Macaca mulatta: one gene and its partners. The protein of the gene in region 2 purifies or fractionates together with the protein of the main gene of each other region. This does not show direct contact. Links are inferred from orthologs where the notes say so. Each region holds a gene or a part of one and is shown on either strand. Other genes may lie near its edges.

Region 1 (2,954 bases), on a different chromosome or scaffold from region 2:
ACCGTATTAGCCAGGATGGTCTCGATCTCCCGACCTCGTGATCCGCCCATCTCGGCCTCCCAAAGTGCTGGGATTACAGGCTTCAGCCACCGCGCCCGGCCTCTGTTATGTTTTTTAAGACGGAGTCTCGCTCTGTTGTGAGGCTGGAGTGCAGTGGCATGACCTCGGCTCACTGCAACCTCCGCCTCCCGAGTTCAACCGATCCTCCTGCCTCAGCCTCCCAAGTAGCTGGGTCTACAGGCGCACGTCACTATGCCCAGCTAATTTTTTCTATTTTTAATAGACACGGGGTTTCATCATGTTGGCTGGGATGGTCTCGTCGTTCTCTTGACCTCGTGATCTGCCCACCTCAGCCTCCCAAAGTGTTGGGATTACAGGAGTGAGCTACTGCACTTGGCCTCATTTATGTGTGTTTCTATTTTCATGTGTTTATGTAATATCACTGTTTATTCTCTAACATGGAGCTCATGTCAACAGCATTCTAACTTGGGCTCAGCGAAGCGTCTGTAGCACGGTATTTCCTCCGTCCGGCATCACAGCCTCCTTGCACTCAGAATACCAGACAGCACTTCAGCACTGTACACAGGGGACATTGCAAATGGCAATATCACCAACAAATGGCCCCAAAAAGTTTTTTTTTTTAAAAAGGCACAAAAATGTGACAATACTTTGGGAGGCTGAGGCAGGCGGATTGCTTGAGCCCAGGAGTTGTAGGCCAGCCTGGGCAACATGGCAAAACCCCATCTCTACAAAAAAATACAAAAGTAAAAAATAAAAAATGAAAAATAAAAAAATAAAATTAGGCCGGACGCAGTGGCTCACCCCTGTAATTCCAACACTTTGGGAGGCCAAGGTGGGCAGATCACGAGGTCAGGAGCTCGAGACCAGCCTGGCCAATATGGTGAAACCCCGTCTCTACTAAAACTACCAAAATTAGCCAGGCATGGTGGGGGGTGTCTGCAATCCCAGCTACTCGGGAGACTGAGGCAGGAGAACTGCTTGAACCCGGGAGGCAGAGCTTGCAGTGAGCCAAGATCGTGCCACTGCACTCCAGCCTGGCAAGAGAGCTAGACTCCGCCTCAAAACAAAAACAAAAATTAGCTAGGCATAGTGGTGCACGCCCATGGTCCCAGCTGATGAGGAGGCTGAGGCCAGAGGATTGATTGAGCCCCAGGGGTGGTGTGTGTGTGTGTGTATGTGTGTGTGGCAGGCACTGAGGCTGCAGTGAGCCATGATCATGCCTCTATACTCCAGCCTGGGCAACAGAGCAAGACCCTGTCTCAAAAAACGAAAGTGAAAACGTAGCACTAAATAGAATACAACAAGGACACTTATTTACAGCATGAGCTAAAGGAAGCAGCCAGTGTTGCCTCATTCACACTCAGCTAGGAAAGTGGGTGTCAGGTGACTCGAATTTGTGGTCAAAAGCAGGGCAGATATTTACTTGCGGATTACAAATAAATCTTAGCAAGCAAGGAGATTCTCAGATACAGAGTCTACAAACAACCAGGGCTGCTGGTAGCTGCTGCCTCCCACAGGAGGTGCCCCTGGGCAGTCCCCAGGCCCTGACCTGCGGTTTCTGTGAAAACACCATCAGCGCTGGGGGTCTCTTCCAGTGTCCAGCCACCGAGAGACCAAATTCGGGCTCTGCCACTTTCTAGACTTGTGACCTGGGCAAGTCACTGGGCCTCACTGTCCTGCCCTGTAAAATGGCACTGAGGTGATATCTACCTTCTGAGCTTCTTCTGCAGATCCAAGGAGTTAAAAGAGCCAACAGAGCCAGGCACAGCGGCCCACCATCCTCTGTAGGATGCCTGCTTCATCCCTTTTGTGGTGCCCACCCCAACCACCCAGTTTCAGCTGGGCCCACAGCTGCAGTCCCCAGCCTTCTTTGCCACCAGGTACGGCCCTGAGCCTGAGCAGCACCGGGCAATGGGATGTGGGTACAAGGGTGGGGTGCAGCCTGTGGATCACAGCCTATGGGAGCTGCCTGCCCTCCACATCCCCCTGCTTCCTGCGGGCCAAAATGTGGCGAGGTGGAGAAGACAGCCAGCAGGCATGGTGGCGGGTGCCCATAATCCCAGCTACATAGGGTGCTGGCAACACCTGGGAGACGAGGTTCCCAGGCTTCAGCACAGCACAGTACCCTCTGTGTCACAGGAATCTGTCCCCGGCATCCTCAGACCAAACACAACACTAAGAGTTCCCCACGCACACGGTGCTGGCAACACCTGGGAGACGAGGTCCCCAGGCTTCAGCAGAGCATGGTACCCTCTGTGTCATGGGAATCTGTCCCTGGCATCCTCAGGCCAAACACAACAGTAAGAGTTCTGTGAATGAAGTTGTTGGGTCGAAGTGACTGAACAGTCGTAGTTTATGTCGTGTCTAACAGATGTCACTGTGCTTCCCTCAAGATTAGAGAACATCCCACAGCACTCCTGTGAGTTTCCTGCAGCGCCCTGGGGCGCTTCGCACGCAGTTTGAAAACTGCAGCCTTGGGGGCCAAAGGAGTAGCAAGACAGAAAGGCAGCAAGAACAGTCTCTGGGCTTCCTCGGGGAGCAGAGCTGCCTCCCACCCGCCTTTTGTAAGGGAAGAGCGCACACCGCAGTCACGGGTCCCTCCCTGATCAGGTGTCAACACAGGCTCCCTGTGGACCCTCTGACCACATCCACTGCCCGGAGCATCCCGTTTTCCCCAGAGGCCCCTGCAGCTGGCTCACCGCGTGATGCCACGGTTGGTGGCCATGATCAGGACGGGCGCCATGTCACTCTCCAGGGCCCGGTTGAGGAAGGAAAAGCTCTCGATGTCCAGCATGTGGACCTCATCAATGAACAGCACCTGGGATTGGGGTGTGTGTGAGAGTCACCACCCACGTCCCTGCTTCCCCAGCCCACTCCCACCCCGCCACCTGCCCCGGCCATGTCCCAGGTCCTCACTCCAGGGATGATCTCCG
Region 2 (4,180 bases):
TTTAAAAAACTGAATCACAAAGCGAGAGTTATTTTTTCTACAAATTTTCTTCAATTCTTTTGATTATTTCAACCAAAGTCTCAGTTTTCAGCACTACTGGGAAAGGCAATAATAAATCATGGACACTGGATATGCAAGTTAAGTATGCCAAGAATGCAAGGTTCTGACCACTGTTCACTCCAGCCATTTCTCAGGATTGTGTTTGCAACAAACAACCTTGAGGAATGAGATAATGTCTCCTTCCAGGACAAAGAGCAGGTGTATTTACTGTCTGCCATGAAAGAGGTGGATTCTCCAAGCTCAAGTATTCTTTAGCCACGATGCCAACCCACTGAATGTGCAGCATTCTTCTAGGACCATCAGCATAATACCTGTAGGGTTGACAAGCAAGAGCAAGCCACACAAACATGATGCTCATGCTGCTTGCTGTGCTATGTGTAGTCTTATCTTTGACCCAGGAGTCTCATGTCTTCGGTCAGCTACCGTGAAACAGTAACAGGCTACAATGTATTAGCTTATAAATAGTGTAAAATTAAATCCTGACAGACACCTCTCTAACACTAATCTCCCTTTTTAAAATAATAACCATTTGGCTCAGAGCCTTCAACAGGCAATATTGTCTGATAACACTGTTATGTTTTTATAATATTTATCTTTACAGTTACCTTACCAGTGGCAACTGTCACAGGATTATAAAGCTTCCTTAAAGAAATGATACAACAGGCTGGGCTCAGTGGCCCATCCTTGTAATCCTAGCACTTTGGGAGCCTGAGGTGGGCGGATCGCCTAAGGTCAGGAGTTCGAGACCGGCCTGGCCAACATGGTGAAACTCCGTCTCTACTAAAAATACAAAAAATAAGCCGGGCGTGGTAGCTCGTGCCTGTAATCCCAGCTACCCAGGAGGCTGAGACAGGAGAATTGCTGGAACCCAGGAGGTGGAGGCTACAGTGAACCAAGATCACGCCACTGCACTCCAGCCTGGCTGACAGAGTGAGACTCTGTCTCAAAATAAATAAATAAATAAGACATATATATATCTCCTTTCACAGACAGGACCCATTAACTGAAACTCTTTTTCGTAGGGAATCCTGGTATTCATCCTCACTCCCCACAAAAGAAATCTTAACAGCAGTCTGATTTCCCATGCATCCAATGTCTCCCCATGACAATATGAGGAAACATTGTTCTTTTGATATTTTTTTTCTTTTTTTAAGAAATGAGGTCTCACTATGTTGCCCAGGCTGTTCCTTTACTACTAGGCTCAAGAGATTCTCCCGCCTTAGCCTCCCAAAGTCCTGGGATTACAGGCATGGGCCACCACACCTGGCCAACGTTGTTAATGAAAGCACAGCTTTACAGAAAGCGTCTTTGGACAGAATGAATGTTTTAAAGTTTAACAATAGGATTTGCTGACAGCTTAAGAAATAACTAAATTTGTGTGGAAATCTCTTGGCAAAATAGCTTCAAGTTTCCCTGGTAGAATAAAGACCTCCCTTCTGGAAATACCACGAACCTTCTTCTGTGACTATCTCAGGTCAATATTTTCTACAACGCACTGCCAAGATATACGTACTTTATCTTTTTTTTTTTTTTTTTTTTTTGAGACAGAGTCTCACTTAGTCGCCCAGGCTGGAGTGCAGTGGCGCGATCTCGGCTCACTGCAAGCTCCGCCTCCCGGGTTCACGCCATTCTCCTGCCTCAGCCTCCCGAGTAGCTGGGACTACAGGCGCCCGCCGCCTCGCCCGGCTAATTTTTTGCATTTTTAGTAGAGACGGGGTTTCACAGTGTCAGCCAGGATGGTCTCGATCTCCTGACCTTGTGATCCGCCCGCCTCGGCCTCCCAAAGTGCTGGGATTACAGGCGTGAGCCACCGCGCCCGGCCCGTACTTTATCTTATTACCCTTATTATACTATAAGCCTCTGGAAGACAAGGACCTTATGATTTCCCACTGTTTTTTGTTTTTTTGTTTTTTCTTTTTTGAGACGGAGTCTCGCTCTGTCGCCCAGGCTGGAGTGCAGTGGCTGGATCTCAGCTCACTGCAAGCTCCGCTTCCCGGGTTTACGCCATTCTCCTGCCTCAGCCTCCCGAGTAGCTGGGACTACAGGCGCCCGCCACCTCGCCCGGCTAGTTTTTTGTATTTTTAGTAGAGACGGGGTTTCACCATGTTAGCCAGGATGGTCTCGATCTCCTGACCTTGTGATCCGCCCATCTCGGCCTCCCAAAGTGCTGGGATTACAGGCTTGAGCCACCGCGCCCGGCCGATTTCCCACTGTTGCTCAGAGCAAGCATAAAACAGTCCCCGTTAAAAAAAAAAAAGGCTATTCAACATTCCCTTATTTCTGTTTATGGCAGTTTAGTCTTCAAGATGGACACTTCACATTAAGTCCTGTGAGCCTCACAACAAACGTAGTGTGTTACACTGTGCTATATAGGTTATACAACTATACGTTATTATAGTTCAATTTTACAGGTGAGTAATCGAGGATAAGTGACTTGCCTTCCGTCACTCTGCTACTAAGCTGTAGAGGTAGGTTTCGATCTCATTGCTTTTGAAGATTTACACGCGATCCCCCGTGATTCCGGAATATCCCTCTTCCTACAGGAGACATCGGCCCCGCCCCCCCCCGGGGCTGCGCGACCCCATCAGGAAAGCCCTTTAGCCTCGCACAAGTGACAGTGAGGCACGACAGGCTCCCGAGCCGCCAGGGTCTGCATAGGCTCGGCAGGCGCAACGAGTGAGGCGATCAAAGCCAGGCCTCGACCCAAATCCTCGGGGGCCAGGGTGGGGCAGGGGCCCACCTGCTTAAAGCCGGATCCTCGTCGCTAGGCTCTTCAACCGCGTAGGGGTCGTAATCATCCGGAAGCCGGTTCATGGTGGCCTGCAGCGGCCTACACCATCCACAAGCGATTTGCAGCGTCTCTGTTTACACTGCCGGTCCAGTCCCTAAAGCTCCCCTGACGCCACTTCCGTCTGAACTTCCGAGTCCCCCTTGCGCGCCTGCGCAGACCGACCAAAGCAAGGGGGGCACGTAGAAGGCGGGGAAGGGGCGGAGCAGGAGCGAAAAGGGGCGGAGACGGGGGCGGGTCTTAATCCCACCATTTTCTTCCGCGGCTTCTGCTTACAGGAAAATAGCAGCTACCTTGCCACCAAAAATAATGATGGGCACTCTCGTAAGTGGTAGTCTCTGAGGGGAACACGCTACATGCAGTGTCTCATCACCTACGAAGCAGGAATCTAGACGCTGAGGGACACACGGCCCGAAATCCAATAGGTCCTCAGACACCAGCACCCGCATCTCGCCAACCTCGCCTCTAACCCTTATGCCTTCCACACCGTGAGGCTCTCAACCGCTCCTTCACACTGTTCACTCCTCAGTCTGACTTTGGCCTCGACAATCTACCGAAAAGTTATATTTTCTCGTCATCTTCCCAGTCCCCACTTTTGCTCAGCCCTCAACTGATCCCACTCGATACTTGAGGAGACCAGGCAGATGACAGCCACTTGATCTCCATCGGGAGACTGTTTCCAACCCTGTTTCTGAACGAGGAACTCGGGTTCCTGCCTCCTACTGAGACACCGTAGCACTCTCTAAAATGTGAAGTAGCTGTAATAAATCTACTCCTATATAATGCTTTACAGTGCAGGTCTTAGTTTTTCTTTTTTCTCGTTTCTTTTGAAATGGCATCTCGAACAAAGTCCACCAATCCCTTTACAAAAGAATGAACTGCTCCTCTGTGTGTACTTCATAGAAGGTGGAATCGGACAGAGGCAGGTTAGCGACAGTTATTCCTGAAATACAGGAGCAAAGTACAGTCTGTTGTGGTTTCCAGGATTCCACGCCTAGCTCAGCCAATTAAGCATGAGACATATACCAGTGAGCCACTTAGTAGTTATGCGAGTGGATAGATTGGTATGTAGAGGGAAAGAGGTCTGCTGTAAAGAACAACACTTGTTTGTCTGTGGGGAAAGAAAAGTAGAATACTTGAGATGAAAGTTGGCATACAAATAGGATACTGTCGCCAGTAGTTATATTACAAACACTGTCGGCCTTTCTAATGTGAATGAACATTACTGTCATTCCTAGTTTAAAGTTAGGTTGCGTGGTTGGATTTTTCCACTATCGTTTTCTAATTTTTCTACCATTTGGAGACCCATAGGGATTTGGGCCTGTCACCCCT
Region 3 (3,651 bases), on a different chromosome or scaffold from region 2:
GCTGGGATTACATCTCTACAATATTTTTAAGTTACATGATAAACCTATACCCTTTTTTGTCAATTAAAAATAAATAAATAGGCCGGGCGCATTGGCTCATGCCTGTAATCCCAGCACTTTGGGAGACCGAGGTGGGCGAATCACCTGAGGTCAGGAGTTTGAGACCAACCTGGCCAACATGGTGAAACCCCATCTCTACTACAAGTACAAAAAATTAGCCGGATGAGGTGGTGGGCACCTGTAATCCCAGCTACTCAAATTAAAAATACACAAACAAATAGCCAGGCACAGTGGCTCATGCCTGTAATCCCAGCTACTTGCTGAGGTAGGAAGATTGCTTGAGCCCAAGAGTCAAGGCTGCAGTGAGCTGTGATCATGCCACGCACTCTAGCCTAGGCGACAGAGTGAGACCCTGTCTTAGAAAAAGAAAAAAAAGAAACTATGCACAGAGATACTTATGTGTTGAGTGAGTGACATAATGCTGACATGATTTGTTACATAAATTGATGGCACCCTGTCTGAACTATTAAGAATGGACCAGATCAAGTTGTATAAAGGACTTGCTTTAATTGAATAAACATTTGCATATCTTGCAAAATCACATAGGTGATGGGGAACTGTCTCTACTCTGTATTATTAATATGTAAACATTACTAGGAGAGAGAAAAGAATAACCCAAATAATCATAACAAAAGGCAAAATAAAAATCATTGTGGAATATCAATGCTAAAGAGAGTCATAGTGAGAAGGTAATAAACTTTCACAAAGGTTGAAGCAGAGAAGTTAAAAAAAGAAAGATAATGGAAGGCTTCAGGGAGGAGGTATTTCAGTTAAGTCTTAAAGAATGAGGATTTTTTTTTTTTTGACTGTGTCTTGCTCTTTTTTTTTGAGATGGAGTCTCGCTCTGTAGCCCAGGCTGGAATGCAGTGGCGTGATCCCAGCTCACTGCAAGCTCCACCTCCCAGGTTCATGCCATTCTCCTGCCTCAGCCTCCCAAGTAGCTGGGACTACAGGCGCCCGCCACCATGCCTGGCTTTTTTTTTTTTTTTTTAGTAGAGATGGGGTTTCACTGTGTTAGACAGGATGGTCTCGATCTCCTGACCTCGTGATCCGCCCGCCTCGGCCTCCCAAAGTACTGGGATTACAGGCGTGAGCCACGGCCCCCACCCAATGGAGTCTTTCTCTTGTCGCCCAGCTTGGAGTGCAATGGCATGATCTTGGCTCACTGCAACCTCTGCCTCCTGGGTAGTACAGACTTTGCAAGAGTTATAGAACTTCCCTGGGCTCTGGTTTTCTCATCTGTAAAACAGGATTATTACCTTCTATAATAATGAGGAGAGGACTCAATAAGAAAATGTATTTAAAGTGTTAGCATAGCATTTAATACATGCTAGATAAATTTTAATTGATACTTTCCTTCTGGATCTTCTTTTCTTTATATATAAAATACATATGTTATATGTATGTCTTTATGTATTTTTAGTACGTCTTTTATATGTATATGTACTATTAATATAATACAACTCTTTCTATGTACATATATATACATATAGACCCTGTCTATACATATATGTATAGAAAGAATTATACGAGATCAGTGGCTTCATAATGATGTTCCATGGAGCCTGCTTCAGAGCCAAAAGGGAAGGCAAATTGTGTAGATCTCTGAACCTCTATCCTCCACTTGATTTATTTTTATTTTATTTTATTTATTTATTGAGACGGAGTCTTGCTCTGTTGCCCATGCTGGGGTGGCTCACTGCAACTTCTACCTCCCGGGTTCAAGCAATTCTCCTGCCTCAGCCTCCCGAGTAGCTGGGATTACAGGCGTGTGCCACAATGCCCAGCTAATTTTTGTATTTTTAGTAGAGACGGAGTTTCACCATGTTGGCCAAGTGAACTCCTGACCTCAAGTGATCTCCCCTCCTTGGCCTCCCAGAGTGCTGGGATTACAGGCATGAGCCATCGTGCCTGGCCTATCCTCCACTTTAATTAAGGCCATTTTTCTTTGAGCCCTTCTATATTTTAGAATTCCTGGTAAAAGTTTTTTTTTTTGAGAAAAAGGGATCTGTAACCTAAAAATATGCTTAAAAACAAATTAGAAGGTTGGGCACGGTGGCTCATGTCTGTAATCCCAGCACTTTGGGAGGCCGAGGCAGGGGGATCACGAGGTCAGGAGTTCGAGACCAACTTGGCCAATATGGTGAAACCCCATCTTTACTGAAAATACAAAAATTAGCCAGGCGTGGTGGCGCATGCCTGTAGTTTCAGCTACTTGGGAGGTTGAGGCATGGTAACTGCTTCAACCCAGGAGGCAGAGGTTGTGGTGAGCCGAGGTCGTGCCACTGCACTCCACCCTAGGTGGCAGAGTGAGACTCTGTCAAAAACAAACAAACAAACAAATTAGAGCCAGGTGTTTTGGCATGTACTTGTAGTGCCGGCTACTTGGGAGGCTGAAGTAGGAGGATCACTTGAACCCAGGAGTTCGAGTCCATTCTGGGCAACAATGAAACCCCATCTCTTTATTTTTTTTATTTTTATTTTTATTTTTTTTGAGACGGAGTCTCACTCTGTCGCCCAGGCTGGAGTGCAGTGACGCGATCTCGGCTCACTGCAAGCTCCGCCTCCCGGGTTTACGCCATTCTCCTGCCTCAGCCTCCCAACTAGCTGGGACTACAGGCGCCCACCACCGCGTCTGGCTAATTTTTTGTATTTTTAGTAGAGACGGGGTTTCACCATGTTCGCCAGGATGGTCTCGATCTCCTGACCTCGTGATCCGCCCGCCTCGGCCTCCCAAAGTGCTGGGATTACAAGCATGAGCCACCGCGCCCGGCCCCCATCTCTTTAAAAAAAAAAAAAAAAAAAACTCCCCAAATTAGACTAGCTAATCCCTTCCAACTTTAAAATACTATGTATTTATGATTACTATTCTAGGTTCTCTTATGAAGAAATACTCATGTTTTTTATTTTTCATAGTTCTCTTGCTATGAGCCCTGGTGAAGAAATCTTAACCTTATTACAGACAATACCATTTGATATAGAAGACCTTAAGAAAGAAGCAGCTAATCTTCCTCCAGAGGATGGTAAGTGATGGACCAGGATACAGTGGAAGGGTTAAAAAAAAAAAAATTAAAATGTTCTTCTAAGTCTCACAGGATCCTCTCCTAAGAGGACTTATCATGTGAATGTAGAATGGCAATATCATGCTTTCTTCTTTTTCAGATGACCAGTGGTTAGATCTCTCACCAGATCAGCTGGACCAGCTGCTGCAGGAAGCTGCTGGCAAAAAAGATTCAGAGTCTATTTCCAAGGAGGAGAAGGAGCAGAACTATGACTTAACTCAAGTCTCAGAGAGCATGAAAGCTTTCATATCCAAAGTCTCAACCCACAAGGGAGCAGAGCTGCCTCGGTAATTTGTGTTAAAGTATAAATATATAAATAGTTAGAACCCAAATGTTGAAGTCATAGTCATTGCCATTTCCACTTTTTTTTTTTTTTGAGTAAATGAGTTGTACAGATTTCTTTCTTTTTTGTGCCTAGTATGGTGATAACTTACTTATCTGAAGTCAGATTTCTAGAAGTCTTATCCTTTGCAATCCTTGAAATAAGCCAGAAAGATCACCCTAAAAACCATCATCCAGAACCACACAG

Evidence for each region.
Region 1: the proteins of EAPP (region 2) and RUVBL2 purify together in Homo sapiens (affinity purification with mass spectrometry; 3 studies listed by BioGRID and IntAct, with this or other methods). This does not show direct contact. The link is inferred for Macaca mulatta from reciprocal best matches to the Homo sapiens genes EAPP and RUVBL2.
Region 3: the proteins of EAPP (region 2) and ECD purify together in Homo sapiens (affinity purification with mass spectrometry; 3 studies listed by BioGRID and IntAct, counting the BioPlex papers as one, with this or other methods). This does not show direct contact. The link is inferred for Macaca mulatta from reciprocal best matches to the Homo sapiens genes EAPP and ECD.

Annotation. Positions count from the first base shown.
Region 1 is NC_133424.1:61,467,729-61,470,682, reverse strand, and holds part of RUVBL2 (ruvB-like 2), read right to left. Parts: coding exon 2,938-2,954; intron 2,840-2,937; coding exon 2,721-2,839; intron 1-2,720. UniProt on the Homo sapiens protein: Possesses single-stranded DNA-stimulated ATPase and ATP-dependent DNA helicase (5' to 3') activity; hexamerization is thought to be critical for ATP hydrolysis and adjacent subunits in the ring-like structure contribute to the ATPase activity.
Region 2 is NC_133412.1:107,651,561-107,655,740, forward strand, and holds the start of EAPP (E2F-associated phosphoprotein), read right to left. Parts: upstream 2,948-4,180; 5' UTR 2,875-2,947; coding exon 2,801-2,874; intron 1-2,800. UniProt on the Homo sapiens protein: May play an important role in the fine-tuning of both major E2F1 activities, the regulation of the cell-cycle and the induction of apoptosis. Promotes S-phase entry, and inhibits p14(ARP) expression.
Region 3 is NC_133414.1:76,420,352-76,424,002, forward strand, and holds part of ECD (protein ecdysoneless homolog), read left to right. Parts: intron 1-2,976; coding exon 2,977-3,083; intron 3,084-3,222; coding exon 3,223-3,409; intron 3,410-3,651. UniProt on the Homo sapiens protein: Regulator of p53/TP53 stability and function. Inhibits MDM2-mediated degradation of p53/TP53 possibly by cooperating in part with TXNIP. May be involved transcriptional regulation. In vitro has intrinsic transactivation activity enhanced by EP300.